Linked DNA regions of Cricetulus griseus. The protein of the gene in region 1 interacts with the protein of each later gene in a pairwise test. Links are inferred from orthologs where the notes say so. Each region holds a gene or a part of one and is shown on either strand. Other genes may lie near its edges.

Region 1 (4,109 bases):
CGACAGCCCATAAAAACATATACAGAAATGTTTTATAGGGCCCAGTGACTCTGCTGTGATTTCTATTTTCACTGCTGACAGGTACTTTTTACGGTGTGATGAGGTTGAGATAAGGCTCCTGGTGTCAACTAATTTGCACGTATAGTAGTCACTAAAAACCCTGCAAGAGCCTGGGTTTCCTGAAGAACATCCCACACACACATTATACAGAACAGCTGGGAAGACACACACCACTACCAAGATTTTTTTTAACGTGCTGAAGCCTAGTACTTTGGAATTAATGCCCTGAAGAAAAGCACGGTGTCCAGACATTACCAATCACCTCTCTTTTTCCAAGTGAGATTTAAAACACGTTTCAGATAAAAAACAAAAAAAAACCCAAACCTGACTCAAACATGTAGGAAGTGATTCTTGGATAGTTAATGTGCCTGGAACCCCGACCTCCAAACCTCCAACAGCTCCTTTTCCTCTCCCTCTGACATTAGACCAAATTAAAGCCAGGCTATTATTACTGCAAGCAAAATGTAAAAGTCACTTTCTCCTAGAGCGCCCCCCTCTTTTTTATCGCTGCCTGCAAATAATTCTTAGTGCGAAAGCCTATTCCCAACTTTTAGGTCCTATTGGCGACAATACTATGGCCTGACGGACATGAAGAAGTACCAAGAAAAAGAAGGTACGACTCCTGACAGGTTCCTGGAATGAAGAGTTGGCTTTGCCAAAAGGATGCGCCTGGGAAGGAAGAAGCACCACACGGCGTCCCTTGCTGCAACACGACCCGAGGACATCTTTGTCAGCCCGCGAGGAACCGAGAGCTTCCGTCCCGATCCCCCTCCTGGGGCCTTCACGACCCCAAGCTCCGTCCCACAAGAGCCCCTGCAGTCCTACCAAGTCACTCCCATGGCGCAGGGTCAAAGGGGTGGCACTGCCAAACACTCGAAGTCAAGGGATCCAGAGGCCCCTGGAGGTAGAGCCGCCTAAAGCAGGATGCAGGCTCCGGAAATACGCAAAATCTGAGCGCCAGAGCGGTACACCCACAGAAGGGAGGCGTGCCCGGGCGCTCCAGCGATGAACGAATTCCGTCATCAGCCCGGCTCCGCCCCCAGGGCGCGCTTTGCTTTGACAGGACCTCTCAGGCTACATTCATGAATTCTGTCTGGAAAAGGTGACTTGGGACATCCACCCACTTCCGTACAATGAGATTACCTGAGAATCTGGGGAGTCCAGCTCCCGCCCCGGAGCTCCTGGAGAGATGGCGGTATATGAGGCACTTCCGGCCTCCGAACGCTGGGGGGCGCTGTGAACTCTCGGTGACCTCCCGAGCACCGGAACACAGGGCGCAGACACAGTCCTAGTTTTAAACCGGCTTCCCACGTGTGAGTAGCATCGGCAAGTTTTTCGAGAAAAATGCCCAAATTGAAGGTGGCCCGCGGGGCCCGGAATCAGGAGAAGCATGCACCTCTGGCCGAGCAGATTCTGGCTGGGAATGCAGTGCGCGCGGGGACCCGAGACAAGCGGCGGGGACGCGGGGTTGAAGAGGAGGAAGAGTATGTTGGACCCCGGCTGAGCAGACGCATTTTGCAGCAAGCCAGGCAACAGCAGGAGGAGCTCGAGACTGAACACGGGACTGCAGACCAGCCTGCAAAGCCACGGGAACGCGCCACGCGGCTGGGTGAGTGACACGGGCTGGAGTGGTGGCATGGGCCGGACTAGCTCAGTCCATCCGGATACGGGTTTGGAATTACAAAGAGGAGGCAGTTTTTCCTTCCCGCGTGGTCCTTCACTTCAACGCGTACCTTCTGGAACCTACCTCAGAGTTCCAACAGGAAGTAATCACTCACACCAAGTTCCAGTATTTATTCTCTGGGCTTGTGAAGTATGACTGTGTTTCCTGTGCAATGCTTTGAACTGTGTTAAGAGTTCAGGCAGTTCTAAGCCGGGCGGTGGTGGCACACACATTTAGTCCCAGCACTCGGGAGGCAGAGGCAGGCTGATCTCTGTGAGTTCGATCCACAGAGAAACACTGTCTTGAAACCCCCCCCCCCAATAAAAAAGAGTTTAGGCAGTTCTGATACCGAAATAAACAATGTACTCGTCCTTGCTTTTAGCACCGGAAGTCTACCCCAAGGCAGAGAATATTAAATAGAGTAACATATTCCAGCAATGAGCAGCGGTGCTCGCCTGTAATCCCAGCAGGTGAGAAGCTGAGGCAGAAGAAGGCCCTCGTGGACTACATAGTAAGGTCCAGATCAGCCTGATATACATGGTATACCTCTATCGATCGAGACAGTAAAAGAAAATGAATATATTCCTATTCAAAACAACAACAACAAACCCGCCATTAATTCAACAGGCCAGGCACCCCAGTTTTGTGCCCTGCCGACTAAGATATAAAAAACATGGGAAATGTTCCATTAACCGAGGCAGGAAAACAGTTTAGAATCGAGTGGGGGTGGGCGGCAGAGATGAGTGGGAAAGTACCTGATACTTGTCTCATTGGGAAGGTTGACCTCCAGTTTCTTAGTCTTGCCTTCTTATTCTAAAAGCAGTATTGAGATGATTGAATATGGCTTTAGGGCCATAGTAGCTTTACTTCCTTGTTTTGAGGTAGGGTCTCATTCCCAGGATGGCCTCAAACTCTGTATGTAGGTGAGGATGACCTTGAACTACTGATTTTTGCCTCTGTTTTTCCAACTGATGGCAATATAGATATTTGACACCACACCTGCCCTTAAATTTTTGTTTTTAAATTACGATACTGTGTCTCCTTAAGTTACTCATGCGGGACTTGAACTTGCTCTGTGACCAGAGCAGGCCTGAGTTTTAGGTTTTCCTGTGTTGCTGTCTGCAGATTCCGGTTTGAAACCATGCATTTGATGACTACTCCCAGCTTTTTCTCTCAGACATAGTTCTTTCAGTAAACTAACATCCCTATATCCACCTGTCTACCTGACATCTCACTGCTTGCTCCATGGAGTCTCTTAGCACATTAGCCTCCCCTTGCTCAAGGCTCCTCTTTCTCATTCTACATCAGGTTTGTCAGTAAACCCTGATGATTTGTGTCTTCAGGATATATCCACTTCCTTAGCTTGGAACATCCTCCTGTTTGAGTTCCCTTGAATCACTGTGGGAGCATCATCATTTACTGTTCTCTAACGTCTGTAATCCATTCGTCAGCTAGTGATCAGTGACAACCTGTTGGGTCCACCTCTGCTGACCAGATGCTAGGGAGGTGATGAGAAAATTCAGTTGGTGAAATACATGCTTTGGAAGCAAGAGCCCCTGACCTCAATACACAGCAGCTCGTAATCCCAGAACTAGGGGGTTGAAGACAGATTTCCTGGTCTACATAGTGAGCTCCAATCAGCCAGAGCTACACAGAGAAACCCTGTCTCGAAAAACAAACCAAAAAAAGGCACTTATTTTTTCAGAAAGACGAGAGTTTGGTTCCAAGTATTCACATGCCAGACCACTGCTATCTATAACTCCAATTCCAAGGGCTCATATGCCCTCTTCTGACCTCTTTGGGCACCAGGGACATTTATGACTCACAGGCATACACATAAAATAGTGTATATAAGTCTAAAACAAAATTAAAAAAAAAAACCAACAAAACATGGGTCTCGCTGGACATGCTCTGCGTACTCTCCTGAGCTATGTGTACCCTTAGTCCAATTCTGTTGCAAATGACCTGTTGTTATATAATATTTCAACTCCTTTGGTTTGTTAGACTCTTCCAGGGTCTTTGCCAGCTATGTGTGGTGTTTCAAAAGTCAGCCAGGTGTATTGGCACGTGACTTTAAATCTGAGCACTAAGGAAGCAGAGGCAGACAGATTTCTGTGAGCTTGAGCAAGTTCCATACCAGCCAAGGTTACATGGTCAGACCCTTGTCTCTCAAAAACAACAACAAAAACAAACAAACCAAGAGTTCAGTGTTAGAATTACAAACATGGACCACACTGTCTAACACTTGGGAGGTAGAGACAGAAGAACAGCCTCAGGGCAACACATAGACTAATAGAAATGGGTTAATTTCAATTAAAAAGCTAAGCAGAAACAAGCCTAAAGCTAAGGCCAAACATTCATAATTAGTAGTAAGACTATGTCATGA
Region 2 (4,045 bases), on another chromosome or scaffold:
CAGCTCGATAGACAACATGCCAAGAAATATAAACAAGTAGGCATGTGTGCAACTCACTTGAGCAGTGCTCAGCACCCCATCTACTGGCTAGCTTTTTCTTTTAATCATTTTTTATTTGAATTAGAAACAAGATTGTTTTACATGATAATCCCAGTTCCTTTCTCCCACCCATTTTCCCCTACCACCTCCCCCAACTAAAACCCTTCCTATCACATGCCCTTTCTTCTATTCTTCCTCTGACTCAATCTTTCTGCTCCCTCATGACGTCTACATCCTTCCTCTTCTTCCCTCTCTTCCCATGTTCTCAATTTCTGGCTAGCTTTTTCTTAAAGAATGTGTCCTGATATAACCAGATACCCCCACAAAAAGAAGCCTGGTCCAGGAACTATTAGTAAGTTTGTAGCTAACTGTGCTTTGTAGGTTGCATACCACATTGCTTTTACAAATTCACAACTTATGAACATATCAAAGTTATCAGAAGACCTATCCCTTCCCTTGCTCAGAATTCTTTAGTCTTTTTTTTTTAATTTCAAAACCCAGGAAAACCTTTTCATAGTTTTAAGGATGTTGCGCCCTTCACACCAGAACATATTACCAGTGACTTGAAAGGGTTAATGTAAAAATGTAGCATCCTAACTGTGTTTTATTGGAGAACAATTTAAACACTAAATGAATTTAATCTTCAAGATGAAATCTACCCGGAACTCTGATAATTCTGAAGTGTCCCATTCCATAATCAGCATTGTTACCCCAAAATGAGCTTGTAAGGAGCCTGGGATGCATAGATTCTACAGATAACATTTCCAATCATCTGCAGCAACTCATGTCACAGGCAAGGAGGTTTCTAAGTGTGAAATTCAAAATCCTTGTAAAGACCCTCACCCTCTGTGGCTCAGGAGACTCTTATGTCTTCCTGGTTATATATTCCCTTGGCTGTTAATGTAATTAGTATGTAATAACAATGTACACATCCACTCGCAGGAAAAACGGTAGACATGCCAGTTGATTTGGCTTGGGGCCATCTCATCGGCAGCATGGTGAGACAACCTGGTATTAAACCATCTGTTATTAAGGGTATATTTTAAAATAGTGTTTTGTGTCTCCTGGGCTACTCACTCCCACTGATAGCAGCACAATATTAAGACTCCCATTGCCCCCCTAGCAGTAGTGTGCAGATAACAAGCTTTAAACATTTGCATTGTTCCCTCACTGCTCCTGTTATTTAGAATTTTATTTAATAAAATGTCTCCCTTATAATATATGATTCTTTCCCACTTTTTTCTCACCGCAGTAAGCAAGCAGCATTTAAACTGTGTTACTGAGCATAGTTGTACTGTTTAGAATCAAGGACCCTAAGTAAAATTGGCCAGAGATTTGTCCGTATGACTAGCCAGCTGCCAATCTATATTAAGACAATAGTCTTGCTACAAGTAGAAAAGTGGAATATTATTAGCAATTAATAATAAAAGTGTTCTCCTTTCAAAACATTTTTGCATCAATTACTTTCCTTTATATTAATTTAGGAAATTAATCCTCATCATTGCAAATCTGCAACCAGGTCCTCATTGCCACCTGTTGCAGTCAGTAGCAAAATCGCTACTGCACAAATTTTTAGAATTAAGTGTTGTGTGTGACAGAAAAGAACAATGTTCCTTTGAAAGATAAGCAGTCACACCATTTAGCAAAACTATCCAAAGTAACTCAATTCAAAAAAATCACCTTGCCTTACAAAAATAAAAATTACAAATTTGTACCTTCAAATCACTTTTGACAAGTATAAGAAAACTTTCATTTTAACTTTTACCTATGCCTCAGAACTTTGTGGAAACAGGTTTTTGGTTTTTCAAATTTCCTTTCACAAGTTGCCTTTTATAATTGACTATTCCCAAGTAGTAAGTTAAATTTCCCTCTAAGTTTGCTAAGTACTTTCACATTCCCATATTTAATTACATTCAGACTGAGAGTTTTATATATGTGTAGAGCACAGCCAATTTTTAACTCAATTGACCACAGTGCCCTTGACATAATGCCTTATTCATCACTTCCACCTTATATATAAGCAGGCATATGCTAGTTGTCAAAATGCAACAGTGAATTTCTATACGTTGTTGTCTAGAACAAAGGAGCCAGCTCTGCTTCTTTCTCTCCTCGGTGTCTCAGAAGGTGTCCTTTATTACACGTACAGGATCCAAGTATTTTGCTCCTCGGGAATGAAAAATTATAGCTTCAAACTGCCTTTTTAAATGACAAATTCTGTTTCCGCAGACTATCAGCCTGCCTGTGGATTTAAGAAACTCTCTAAGATTTATTCTTACTTCCTTGGGGATTCAGCGTTTCTCTCCAAGCACCCCCGTAAACTCATCTGCACTGTTTCAGAGCGCAAGAAAGATGAGAAAGTTTGCTCATCACGGTGGTCTGGAAACTCTTGCTCAGTAAAAACACTTTCTGGGATGTCTAAGGTGCTAGAATTACTGCCTCGGTAGATTTTTGATGTGCAAAGCCCGCAGAGAAAGTTAGCTGGAGGTACGCGGCAAAGCATTGTGTTTGTTCAGGAAGGAGCTGTGGGGTTAGAGGCTGAGCAACGCCTCTCCCTCTGCTTCCTGGGTGAGAGCAGCGAGGCGTGCCCCTTAGCAGAAGCAAGCAGAGAGAGAGAGAGAGCAGTAAAACTCACCGGCTTCCCCATTTTTCCCAGGATGGGGGTTTGTCCCTCAATTGAGAGCTGGAAGAGGCAAACCTGTGGGTCCGCCAAGCAGGCTGCTCCGGGCAAGTACCAGCTCTGCTCTTCGCCTCGGATCAGCTGAATGGCTGGGGCGTTCAGGAAGCTTGCTCTGTCCAGCTGGGAATCGCTCCCCCTCTCCAGGGTGTGTGCTTACATGCCTCTCAGTCAGAGCAAAAAAAAAAAAAATATGCCAAACTCAGGTCAGCCTAACAGGTTTCCTTATATAGGTAAACATGAATTGCATTCCTGGTGGAAGAAGTTAACTAGGATCTCCCCCCCCCCCCGTAACCTGATTAACTCTATACATGCCAGAAGGACTCAGAGACAGTTGGCCTGCAGAGGGTTTGGTTGCAGTACAAAGGGATTTGTGGGATTTAATTAAAATCATCTTTATCCTGGCAGTCTGCAAAAAATTGGCCCCTTTAGTGTAACTGAGAGTTAACAACTAGTATTTTATATCACGCACTGTGACCAACCTTATATTATCAGAAAGCACTGAAGGGGAAAAATCAAAGTATAGGATATCACATTTTGTCTTTCATGATTTTAAAAATAGGGAATATTATTTTGAGATTATTTTCAAAGAGGTAAATCTTATGACAGAAAGAGAACGAGAAGAGAATAAACTTCCATGAAACAAGGCACAACTGACTTATTTGAGCATAGCAACTAACTTACTCAACAACTTTCCCAGGACTTTAGTAGATAATACAATATAAATATTTGATGTTTATTTGCTTTACAAGACAGTGATTGCTATTGTATTTTTGAAGGGTGAAATACCAGTTTGATTATATCTATTGCAGCAGTAATCTTCCCTAACCAACATATTATTTGATTGTGTCAAAAAAGAAATACAAGATTTGTGAATTTGCATGGCTATATGTAAAAAAAAGTCTTAAGCAATTTCACTGATTTAAGAAGATAAGAAATAGATCTTTAAGTGAACTCTATAGATGGGAGGCTTAACTGTAGCTTGAAATACAGTTTAAAATATGATACATGTAGATTTCGTAATACTTGATTCTTTCTCTATACTTTTAAACATCATAGTAAAGTAGTAATTCTTTTTCATTGTAATTCATTCCACTAAAGACTTAGTAAGAAGTAGATGCAATAAGATGTAAGATTTTCCTATGTTTTAATGGAGATGAAGACTGTGTAATAAGTATAAGCAATCCTTAAAAGAATCACTTGTTCTTATTGTGCCCACCAGCTGACTTCTCCTAGAGTAGTGACAATGCCATTAAAAATACCTTAGTGCTGTTTTGATTCCCTGATTCAGAAAGGAGAGACAATGGATGTTGGCAGTGACTGAGGCCAGCA

What was found. The genes of interacting proteins can lie anywhere in the genome.
Region 2: the proteins of bystin (region 1) and Mid1 interact in binary tests that used the Homo sapiens proteins (3 or more experiments, as listed by UniProt). The two-hybrid records come from large-scale screens. The link is inferred for Cricetulus griseus from reciprocal best matches to the Homo sapiens genes BYSL and MID1.

Annotation. Positions count from the first base shown.
Region 1 is NW_023276806.1:255,579,857-255,583,965, forward strand, and holds the start of bystin, read left to right. Parts: upstream 1-1,308; 5' UTR 1,309-1,404; coding exon 1,405-1,669; intron 1,670-4,109. Other genes in the region: mediator of RNA polymerase II transcription subunit 20, read right to left, coding at 886-899. UniProt on the Homo sapiens protein: Required for processing of 20S pre-rRNA precursor and biogenesis of 40S ribosomal subunits. May be required for trophinin-dependent regulation of cell adhesion during implantation of human embryos.
Region 2 is NC_048604.1:104,293,820-104,297,864, reverse strand, and holds the start of Mid1 (E3 ubiquitin-protein ligase Midline-1), read right to left. Parts: upstream 2,802-4,045; 5' UTR 2,672-2,801; intron 1-2,671. UniProt on the Homo sapiens protein: Has E3 ubiquitin ligase activity towards IGBP1, promoting its monoubiquitination, which results in deprotection of the catalytic subunit of protein phosphatase PP2A, and its subsequent degradation by polyubiquitination.